2 linked regions of the Caenorhabditis elegans genome follow. The protein of the gene in region 1 purifies or fractionates together with the protein of each later gene. This does not show direct contact. Each region holds a gene or a part of one and is shown on either strand. Other genes may lie near its edges. The genes, in order: C08G9.2 and R04B3.2.

Evidence for each region.
Region 2: the proteins of C08G9.2 (region 1) and R04B3.2 fractionate together in Caenorhabditis elegans (co-fractionation; one large-scale study listed by BioGRID). This does not show direct contact.

What each region holds. Positions count from the first base shown.
Region 1 is NC_003282.8:7,669,816-7,675,030, reverse strand, and holds the start of C08G9.2 (uncharacterized protein), read left to right. Parts: upstream 1-2,058; 5' UTR 2,059-2,151; coding exon 2,152-2,334; intron 2,335-2,450; coding exon 2,451-2,520; intron 2,521-2,521; exon of another isoform or gene 2,522-2,638; intron 2,639-2,978; coding exon 2,979-3,671; intron 3,672-3,731; coding exon 3,732-3,923; intron 3,924-3,970; coding exon 3,971-4,074; intron 4,075-4,120; coding exon 4,121-4,553; intron 4,554-4,600; coding exon 4,601-4,780; intron 4,781-4,864; coding exon 4,865-5,215.
Region 2 is NC_003284.9:2,470,887-2,475,531, forward strand, and holds R04B3.2 (Glycosylasparaginase beta chain), read right to left. Parts: upstream 2,833-4,645; 5' UTR 2,699-2,832; coding exon 2,575-2,698; intron 2,524-2,574; coding exon 2,373-2,523; intron 2,328-2,372; coding exon 2,102-2,327; intron 1,455-2,101; coding exon 1,336-1,454; intron 1,286-1,335; coding exon 1,198-1,285; intron 1,145-1,197; coding exon 934-1,144; intron 880-933; coding exon 707-879; 3' UTR 654-706; downstream 1-653. Other genes in the region: R04B3.1 (MAM domain-containing protein), read right to left, coding at 218-272; R04B3.3 (MAM domain-containing protein), read right to left, coding at 3,000-3,101, 3,157-3,419, 3,472-3,862, 3,925-4,116, 4,161-4,286, 4,333-4,490, 4,543-4,645.

The sequences.
Region 1 (5,215 bases):
AAGAGGAAACGTTTCTGAATTGAAAAGATTTGATGTTAACGTCTTGGACGGTCTCATGGTTCAGAGAGTTTTCAACAACAAATTTCTATTGGAAATTCTTTCATTTCATCTCCATTTTTCTTGTTTACTTTTTTGCAGGTAAACCCGCGCAAATAGTTGAAGTTGACACAATGTCAAAATGAGCGCGAATACCAATTAAGAAAGGTCAGATCGTTGGCATCGGTAGACAGACAACAATGAAAAAAATAGATTCCAGATGCGTTTGATTTGAAGATAGGAGGAAAGGAACAAAAGATGGTGGGCAACGGGAACCAAGTCACACTTATCAAATTAAAGGAATTAATGGGAATTCAAATGTATTAGCTGCAGTAGTCAATAACATCGAGATTTACAAGAAAATTATCTTTGAACAAATACGATACACAACGCTGAAACGGTGTGATACATAGCATGCAGCAATTGCCGTTCGGTAATCGACTTTTCGACGATTTCGGCAATCGCTGAAATTGTCGATTACAGGAAATCAGAATTGCCGAAAATATAAATGTGATATTTTTTGTAGATTTAGGAGCCCAAACATGAATTTTAATGAACAATGTTCTCTCTTTTCAAGCTCAAAATGATTTAATACTTGAAGGGTTGCCCGTTTTCTTTTAGAGAATGACTAACCTAATACAATAATTTTTGAGACATTTTCAAGTTGTCTCAATAGGTATTTAGGATCAATTTTGATTCTAAAAACAATCACCCAAATTTTGCTACTCCATCTTTAAGTGGAAAAATGAAGTAATATCGTTCCTGTTTTTCCATTTTAGTTTCGAAAATGATACAAGTTCAATTTCAAAAGTTGAAATATTCAGTTACTTTTTATAAATCTCATGTCTCTTTCATATCCCGCTAGTAATTCAATTCATATGAGCAGTCGACTACCATTTTGGAAGATAAACAATACAAATACGGGTTGCGAGAGACGAAGAGATCTCCAAGTGACACTTATACCGAAATGAGCGAAAGAGTTAGCGAATACATTTGTTTTGCGTACTATTAGCAGAGCTTTGAAACAGGGCGCAGCCTAAATTTGGGAGAGAAAGAAGATTTGTACGATTACGGAATAGAATATCCTACAGTAGAAAGTTAAAAAACATTACAAAATGAAATGTGCTTCATTAGGACAAAACAATATATTTTATTGTAAAACTAGTGGAAAAGAAAAAAAAAAAAGAAATGAAGAAGTAGTATTGGACTCCAAAAATATGATGTTTGATACTTTTCTGAAATGTGATAGTTTTGGAAATTAATGCGCGGATTTTTCTGAGCATTTTCTGAATCCATCGACTTTTTTAAAACTACATACCACATCTCATCTATTAATTTTAAATTTAATTTTTGCGGAAATTCCCACAGAGTATAGCCGGTCTGTCGGAAAATCAGTGCATGACAAACTAGAAGCTACAAAACTAATAAGGGAAATACGGGTTGTTTCAAACTAAATGCTTATGTTCGAATTGCAATATTTCATTCTGACTACCTTATTAATTTTCCCTTATTTTCCTGTTTTCAGAGCTCATATACATAAAGTTCACTTAAAAACCAGAACTAAAAAATCACGTACCGTTTTTGAAATTGACACACAATGTAATTTCACAGTTGGACGGAGCAGAAATCAAGGTTAGAAACATTTTCACAGTCTGTACTAGTTTTGCATTATATTTTCCTGTAATATTTTGATTTTCAAAAATCCAAAACCAAGATCCCTTTCGTACATCCCGTGATTGATTAAACAACAATGAGATTTCGAAAAGTCAGCATTTCTGCTCGAAAATCGTGTATCAAATCACCTTTGACCCTGTAGCTCATCATATCTAAACATTTTACAATCTTTTGATTCTTCATTCACATAAATCCAGTGGACCTCTTCCGTATTACATCAACTTCCTCGTAATATTTACAAATCTGTCGGAAGACAGTTTCGCACCTCACACCGCAAAAGTGGGCGGCGTGTCCGTGGCGGTGGTGGCCGGGGGTTGCAATGTGTCCACTCAACAGAAGTAACCTGTCTCTTTTCCCTCAATCCACCTGTCATCTTTTACTATCCTAAATTGACCATCACATCTTTTATTCTTATCACTTCCGGATGTCAAATGAGCAATTATGTGGTTACTGTATCTTTTAATTCTGAAACCATTTTTGTCGTCTTCTATAGACCTTTTACCGGCAAGTGTACCAAATGTATGTCCTTTCCGTCCAACCAGTTGTAATTTATTATGCCCTTTTGGATATTTGAAAGATATTCTTCAACAATGTATCTGCACATGTGCAATGGATCCTTGCCAGGTTAGGCTTTTTGAAAGATCTCTGATATTTTTTTGAATTCTTCTAACACTCTATAATATATTTAACGAGAAATAATTGTTCTTAATAATATTTTACTTTCTATATTAATGTTTTAGACGACAATTTGTGGACCATCAGAAAGTTGCATTGCAATTGGCGTGAAAGCACGCTGCATTCCAAAGTTCGGTAAGTGTACATCCAATTATGGTGCGTGACCAGTCTCTTTTGGGAAGAGAAGTGACAATTATCTGGCTACTACACGGCTAAGCTAGTATTCGGACACGTTTTTGTGAATACTCTGTTCCTTTTTTGCCAAAGATTTTTCTCGATTTTCTATAAAAGACAATTGAAAAACGAAAAAAAAACGAACAACGGTTACATCACATAATAACCTTCTATATTAGAATTTCTCAAAAAATAAAAAATCAACTCATGTCCTTAACAAGAAAAACTAAAAAATGCATTTAATTTCTTCAAAATTACAAAAAAGAAATGTACATATGTATTAAAGTTAATTTCAAGATAATTCCAAGAATCAAGATAAATTTTTTGAAAATTCAAAATTGAAAATGAATTTTTGATAACATAATTTTTGTATTTTTTGTTTTCAAGTATGAAAGCTCATTACATATTTTTTGATTCAGGATCAAATCGAGAAGAATGCCCACGATTAACTGGTGGTATATGTGCACTTCGATGTGAAAAAGACTCTGATTGTAGTGGTCGGTTGATCTGTTGCTCGAACGGATGTGGACGAGAATGTGTTGCTCCAATTGCTAAAAGTTTTCAAATCGACAGAGAAGTTCCAATTCAACCAGTTTCTTCATCATCTAATAACATCCCTGGTTCCTTTCAACGTCTCATTAAAGCTGTATCAAATATTGGATCAACTCATTTCAATATAACTCCAATTCCACCAACGATACGAAATCTTGCGAACTCTCTATTTCCAACTCCTTCACCAATTCGTCCACTTCCTACAACAAAAGTCGGTCAATGTCCTTCTCCAACATCAAATAAATCAATATGCATTGATCAAAAACAATGTGCAAATGATTTGGATTGTGGTAGTGTTGATAAATGTTGTCAAAATGCATGTGGATCAACTTGTATGGAACCTCTCAAAGCAACTGGATGTATTCATATGGTTCTAGCAATTTCGAAATTAAAAGATAAAAGACTTCCAAATGAATTTGTTCCATTTTGCGAACGAAACGGACGATTCTCATCAATTCAATGTGATATTCAGTTTTGTTGGTGTGTCGATGTACATTATGGCTCAGAGATAGCTGGTACAAGAATAAGTCGAGAACAACGAAGGATTGATATGTGTAGAGGTATTTGATGTCTTGGAACATATATTTTTGGAGAAAATCAATTACACTATTGATTTTTAGAACCCCGTTTATGTACGAAAAAGTGCCACAATCAATGTACTCATGGACACGTTATGGACATTTTCGGATGTCCTATTGCATCATGTTCTTGTGTGGATATTTGTAGAAATGTTAATTGTGAAAATACTTGGGAGCAGTGTCAGCTGGTTGAGCCCGATTGTGCAAATCCTCCATGTCTCCCTGTTCCGCGATGTTTGATTCAAAAACGTTACTTCAAAGATATATAAAGTTTGTTTCAGGTCTGTTGAACCCATGTAGGCACGGACCACCTTCTCGTCTTGGAAATGGAATTACAGCATTGTGTTCTATTGATAAAGATTGTCCCGAAGGAACTTGTTCAAAGGTACTAGATACTTTGAAAGAAGTGTGCATATTTATAGAACTTTCAGATTGGCTACAATGGACTTGGATTTTGTTGTTCGGGTCCAGCGTCATCTACACGAGACGGAAGATGTCCTTCCCAAGCCGCTGACAAATTAAAGTGTCTCATCTACCCTGATAATTCATGTCACTCGGATCACGAATGCTCTGAAGATGAGAAATGCTGTTTCAATGGCTGCACTTTATCTTGCACACAGCCTGAAGATTATGTTCTGAAAAAACCATTGAAACCAATTGAGCCAGTGATGCATTACCAACCGGGCGATGTTGAGAAGTATAACAAGGGACATTTGAGCTCTTTGGTAGCAGATTGTATTGATATCATTGCATCAAATGTTAGCTGTGCAACTGAATGTCATTCTGATTCTCAATGTGCTGGAATGAAGAGATGTTGTAGACAAGGATGTTCAACTTCGTGTATGTATCCAGTTCGGAGCACCCGTGAGTTTGATATTCGTTGGGTTTGGTATCAACTACATCATTTTCAGCTTGCTTTCATCTTGCATTGACAGCTGAATTGTATTCATTAAGAAATGCAATGAAGTGTGACAGGGCAGGAAATTTTGAACAATACCAATGTGACGATGAAGGATGTTTTTGTGTGGACATAGCAACTGGAGAAGAGCTGCCCGGATCGCGAGCCATTGGAAGAAAACCGAACTGTGAAAGTGAGTCGAGCACTACTTTCCAGATGCGTCTACAATATTAGCATAGATATTTTCTCTGACCTTTTTTAATTATTCCGCTTTCAGGTAGAAACCCATGTGAACCACTGGTTTGTAAAGTAGCATGCCCATTTGGTTTTGAAAGAGGATCAAACTCCTGTCCAACCTGTAAATGCAAAAATCCATGCAAAGAAGTAAAATGTCCACAAGGAAGTGTATGCGTTATGAGCTCAATTCAATGTTATCAGAAGGGAAACTGTGTTCCACAACCTAGATGTGTTCTGAACTTTTGTCCAGCCGGAGAGCCATATATTTCCAGTATTGGAAATGCTGAAAGTTGTACAAAAGATGAAGAATGCCCAACTTCAACTCACTGGTGTCATAAACTTGGATTGGCATCTGGAGGAATGTGTTGCCTATCTCCACCTCTTGTCCGTC
Region 2 (4,645 bases), on another chromosome or scaffold:
GAACAATTTGAACAAAATTATACCACTTTTTTCAAAACTTCGAACCACCATACAGTTTTTCAAAAAAAAATCTTTGAGAAGTTTTATTACAAAATTGGCTTATTTTAGTACATTTTGGGTCTACAGGCTTTAATTTTTTGTCAAAAAACAAATAATTTCGAAACAAATTTTACACGCTCTCAATACAGTTCGATGTTTTCAAAATACAAAATCCTACCTTTATCAATGCTTATATACATTGAATATAACAGTAAAAATATCGCGTATACCATTTAGTTTATCGATAGGAACACTTCATTATACTGAGTGTTTGTTTAGAAATAAATACGAAAAAAAAATGGAAAGTCGGAAAATAAAGAAAAACGAAATGAGACCTTCAGCTTCTGCTGTCCGGTTTGTAAATGACACCGAAATGAAAATTGACCGTCACTCACTCACTGCTGCGATTCACTTTTCTTTCCAACAAGTGGATTTATTGCACTTCTGTTTCAACGACAACCGTCGACAGTCTCGAAGACAGCTAATTATACCATCTGCGCTACTGTGGCACCTACTTTCACTTCAGCCTGAACTTCTTCCTTATTATGCATAACGTCCGCATTTCAACTCCACCCCTCCCCTTCTTTTCAACTTGAAAACAATAAGAAGCTAATCCACAGTCCTCGAAATAGTTTTATTCCACGAATTTCTTTATATTATTATATTATCATGCAAATTCGATTCCTTCTTTGAGATACTTCAAGGAATTAACTTCTTTGAGACAACTTATGGAGTAGGTCACCACCGTTCCGTTTTGAAAAGCCACATTGTATCCGAATTTATTAATATTCGCACACGAGGCTCCGATTCTGCCTTTCACATTCATTGCAACGACTGCGCCTGGAAAAAAGCCACTGAAAAAATTTCAGAAAAAAAATTGTCAAAGTGTGCTACCTGAAAATTTCGGGAAAACTTTCAGAATTCGAGTTATCGCCTTATAAGCTGCTTTTGATGGCTTTGTACCCAGTTCCATCTGTGTTACAGCAAAGAAGCTTGGTAAAAACCTCATCATGACATCACCGTCACCAGTTGCGGCGGCTCCACCGAACTTGTTTGCATATGCTCCAGCACCCGGAATCGGACTATCACCAACTCGACCGGGAATCTAAAAACAAAAAAAAAATTGAAATTTTATTTATTTATTTTTGCTTTTTTCACTTTGAATCTAGCTCCATTTGATGATGTTCCGGCGCTGAATATGTTTTCCGTGTCGCGTACCACCATTCCAATTGTGTCATGATTTGTTCTAAATTTCAAACTGAAATTTATTACGAGCTTTAATCAAAAAAAATCTACTTTTCAACCAGATATCCAGCTTCGTCAGACTGATTTACAAGTGAATAATATCGCATTGATTTTGTCAAAGGATTTGTTTTATAAGGTCCGCAGGAGCTGGAAGGATCGGGGGACACGTTCTGAAAACATAAACATTGATGGTGTTGGGAGCTAATTTGCTTTGTTTTCTAAGAGAGCTTTAAGCTAGAGGAATTATGACAAAACTATTCAAAAACAGCTTAAAACCTCAAAAAACTGTTCAGATTAAAATTTGTTGGTATATAAGCATGTAGGTATAGGCATAGGTATGGAAATAGATACTCGGTGACTGTGACATTAAAAAATCCGTTAAAACATTTGACCGTGTGGCATGGTTGAACTTTTGGTATGTGGAAAATGATTAAGAACAAAATTAATATCATCGAAGAACACTGTTTTGCACGAAAAGTGCTTGGCAACTACCGGCCGGTAATTCTACTGAAAGAGTCACTGTAAAATGTAGTGATAGTCAAGTACTTGCTTTGTCTTAAAATTATTTTTTTAAATAGTTTACAGACTTTTTTCAGTAAAAAAATCCGACAACGTACCAAAACAATTTCGGCAATTTCCATCTCTCAGACAACTTTTTGCCACTTTTTCAGTTGTCGTGAATATTTGTTATATAATTTAGCTTTTAATTTTACTGAAAAATTGGGAAAACAATCCAAAACTGGTTCATTTTTTAAAATTGCCGATAGGCGATTTACGCAACTTTTACATGAAAAATTATTAATCACATATCATTCACCTTCCAAAAATTAGGCTGGCATTTTTCAGTTTTCCATTTTGAAATCCAAGATTTAGTTTCCTCGGTGGACAAGTCTTCTTCTTTAAAGCCCAAAGTCTTTGCAAACTGAGTGGCAGACTCTCCAACCAACAATGTATGTTTGGTAAAGTTCATGACACCCCAGGCAACTCTTGCGGCATCTCGAATACGATGAAGGTTTGCAACAGCGCCCACTCGCATTCCATCCCTACAAAAAATGTTTTCAATAACTACCATAGAAGAGCTTACTGACGCGTCGATAACCAGCGAATCTAAACAGGTTTCACCATTTTCATCTGGTGATCCTCCATATCCAACGGTTGTATCGCACTGGAGAGCCTCACAAGTTGACAATCCTTCGACTAAGCCAAACATACGACCTCCCAGTAAAGTGGCATCCACCGCTGAAAAATTATGAATTGATATTTTGGGAAAATCATTTTAAAAATACCAACCATTTTTCGTAGCTTTTTTAAAACCATCACTTCCCCATGTTGTGATGACCATTGGCAAACTGTCATCATTGATGGTCCCATTGATATACGGAATTAGAAGGAGAAAAATATAAAACCGTCGCATTTTTCAGAGTGAGTTTTCAGAGTAGTATATACTATTATTTGCTAAGACTTGAAAAATCGATGAAAGATGTGGCGGCAAGATAGTATCTAGAGCGATCGAGCGTTCTTTGCAAATGGTGACATCTGCTGTCGAATGTCCCAATGTCTCATCTGCAGACAATAAAACCATATGTTGTTTGTGGATTTGTTTATTGGTTCAATAAAATAACATTGAGACAAAAAAGAGAATGAAAGACAGTTGAAAATGATTTGAAATGTTTACGGTTTATACAATTATTAAATAAGTTATATGGTTATACGATCTAACAGATGAGTTGCTGACCTTTGGAATCACGAGACAGACGAATTGGTAGAAAACCAACTTCTCCTTTATTTTCACCGGCATTTTCAGCAATCACGCGAAGCTGAAAATTATAGATTATTTCAATGAGATTTTGTTCATATGCAATTTGAACTTACTTCATATGTGCCGGGTGGAAGTTTTGAACACCGAATGTTCCACTTTTTATTCTCCCTCAATCCTTCGCCCATAGTCAAGCCACTCTTTTTGTAGAAACAATCCATTTTGTCAGTGCAAATTGCAATTGAAAGACCCTCTGTTGCATAATACTCATAAAAGCAAAAGTAAACTTCCTCCAAAAGTGGAACGTTTAAGGCTTCTGATACCAGTGTGTAACTGCTGATATGAGAGTCGAAGAATGGTGCGACCAAGAACTTTTGAGCTTAACAAATATTAACTTACAAAATTTTTCATAAAAAACCAGTTTGACTTACCTGTTCCAGGTGGCAGATTAATTCCAGTAAGCGGATTTGCCACCCGTCCGGACGTCCCAATTTCCCAACGGTTATTACCGGATGATCTCCAGAACTTGCAACTCAAGTCAGATGGATTACATGACAATGCTAAGCAACTTTCAAAGAGTGATGGGACAGTTGATAATGATTCAGCTGACGTCATTGGGGTTTGCGGAGCAGTTTGCACCACTGCAGGTTGTGCGACAGGAGAGATCACTGATTGGATATCAGCCGCAGATTTTGGCTGCTGCTCTACTACGCTGTTGCTTTGAAGTGATCTTTGCAGAGCTGCTATTGCAATTCGCTGCTCATCGAGGTTAGCAGGAAGTCCGGCGTCAATTGCTTCTAGCCCAGGAATTCCTACGACTCCCTAGAACACTATTCATGTTTAGGTTAAATAATAAATAAAATTGCAGGCGAATAAAAGGGTACCTTTAATGATCCAACCGATTCTGCAAAACTTCTCTTATCATTTTCATTCGCTCTTGATGGGGGATTTGAAATGAGTACAGGATGACTATCAAGAGTCTCTCCGTTACACTTCAATGATCCTTCAATCACAATGTCCTGAATGAAAATTGCGCCACCTTCCTTGGCTATGAAATTGTTGCCAGAAAATACCAACTAAAAGAAAAATAAAATTTTCAATATATATTCTGTTTCAATACCTGAGTTGGGAGGTTAGGGTCATTAGGGGTTGGGATATCCGCTGTCATAGGAACACCATTTCTAATTTCAAACTCGTTGCAATTAATTAGCGGGAACTTTTCTTCGTTCGAATTCCTGACACAAATCTGAACAAGAAATATTTACGTGCTTGTGGGGAAAACTCAAAGTTACCTGTAACTTTGGCTGTTCACCACCAGGCCCAACTTTACTTCTCCACGCAGTTGCGGTGACCCTCAAACCAGTTGTCATACAAGGTAAAGCATCAGATATGAGTTGACCGCTTTCCCATCCGTTTCTAGCAGGAGAAGTAAGCGAACCTGCGGATTGACCTGAAAACTCGAAAGTATTAAGACAAAGTAAAGATAAAAATGTAAAGAGTACCTGGCAAATTCTGCACATCCAACGTTGGTAGGAATGAAGCTGCTTGAGGTGATTCGGCTAAGGTGGTCCAATCAAGTTCTTCTTCTTGAGTATTAGACCAGCG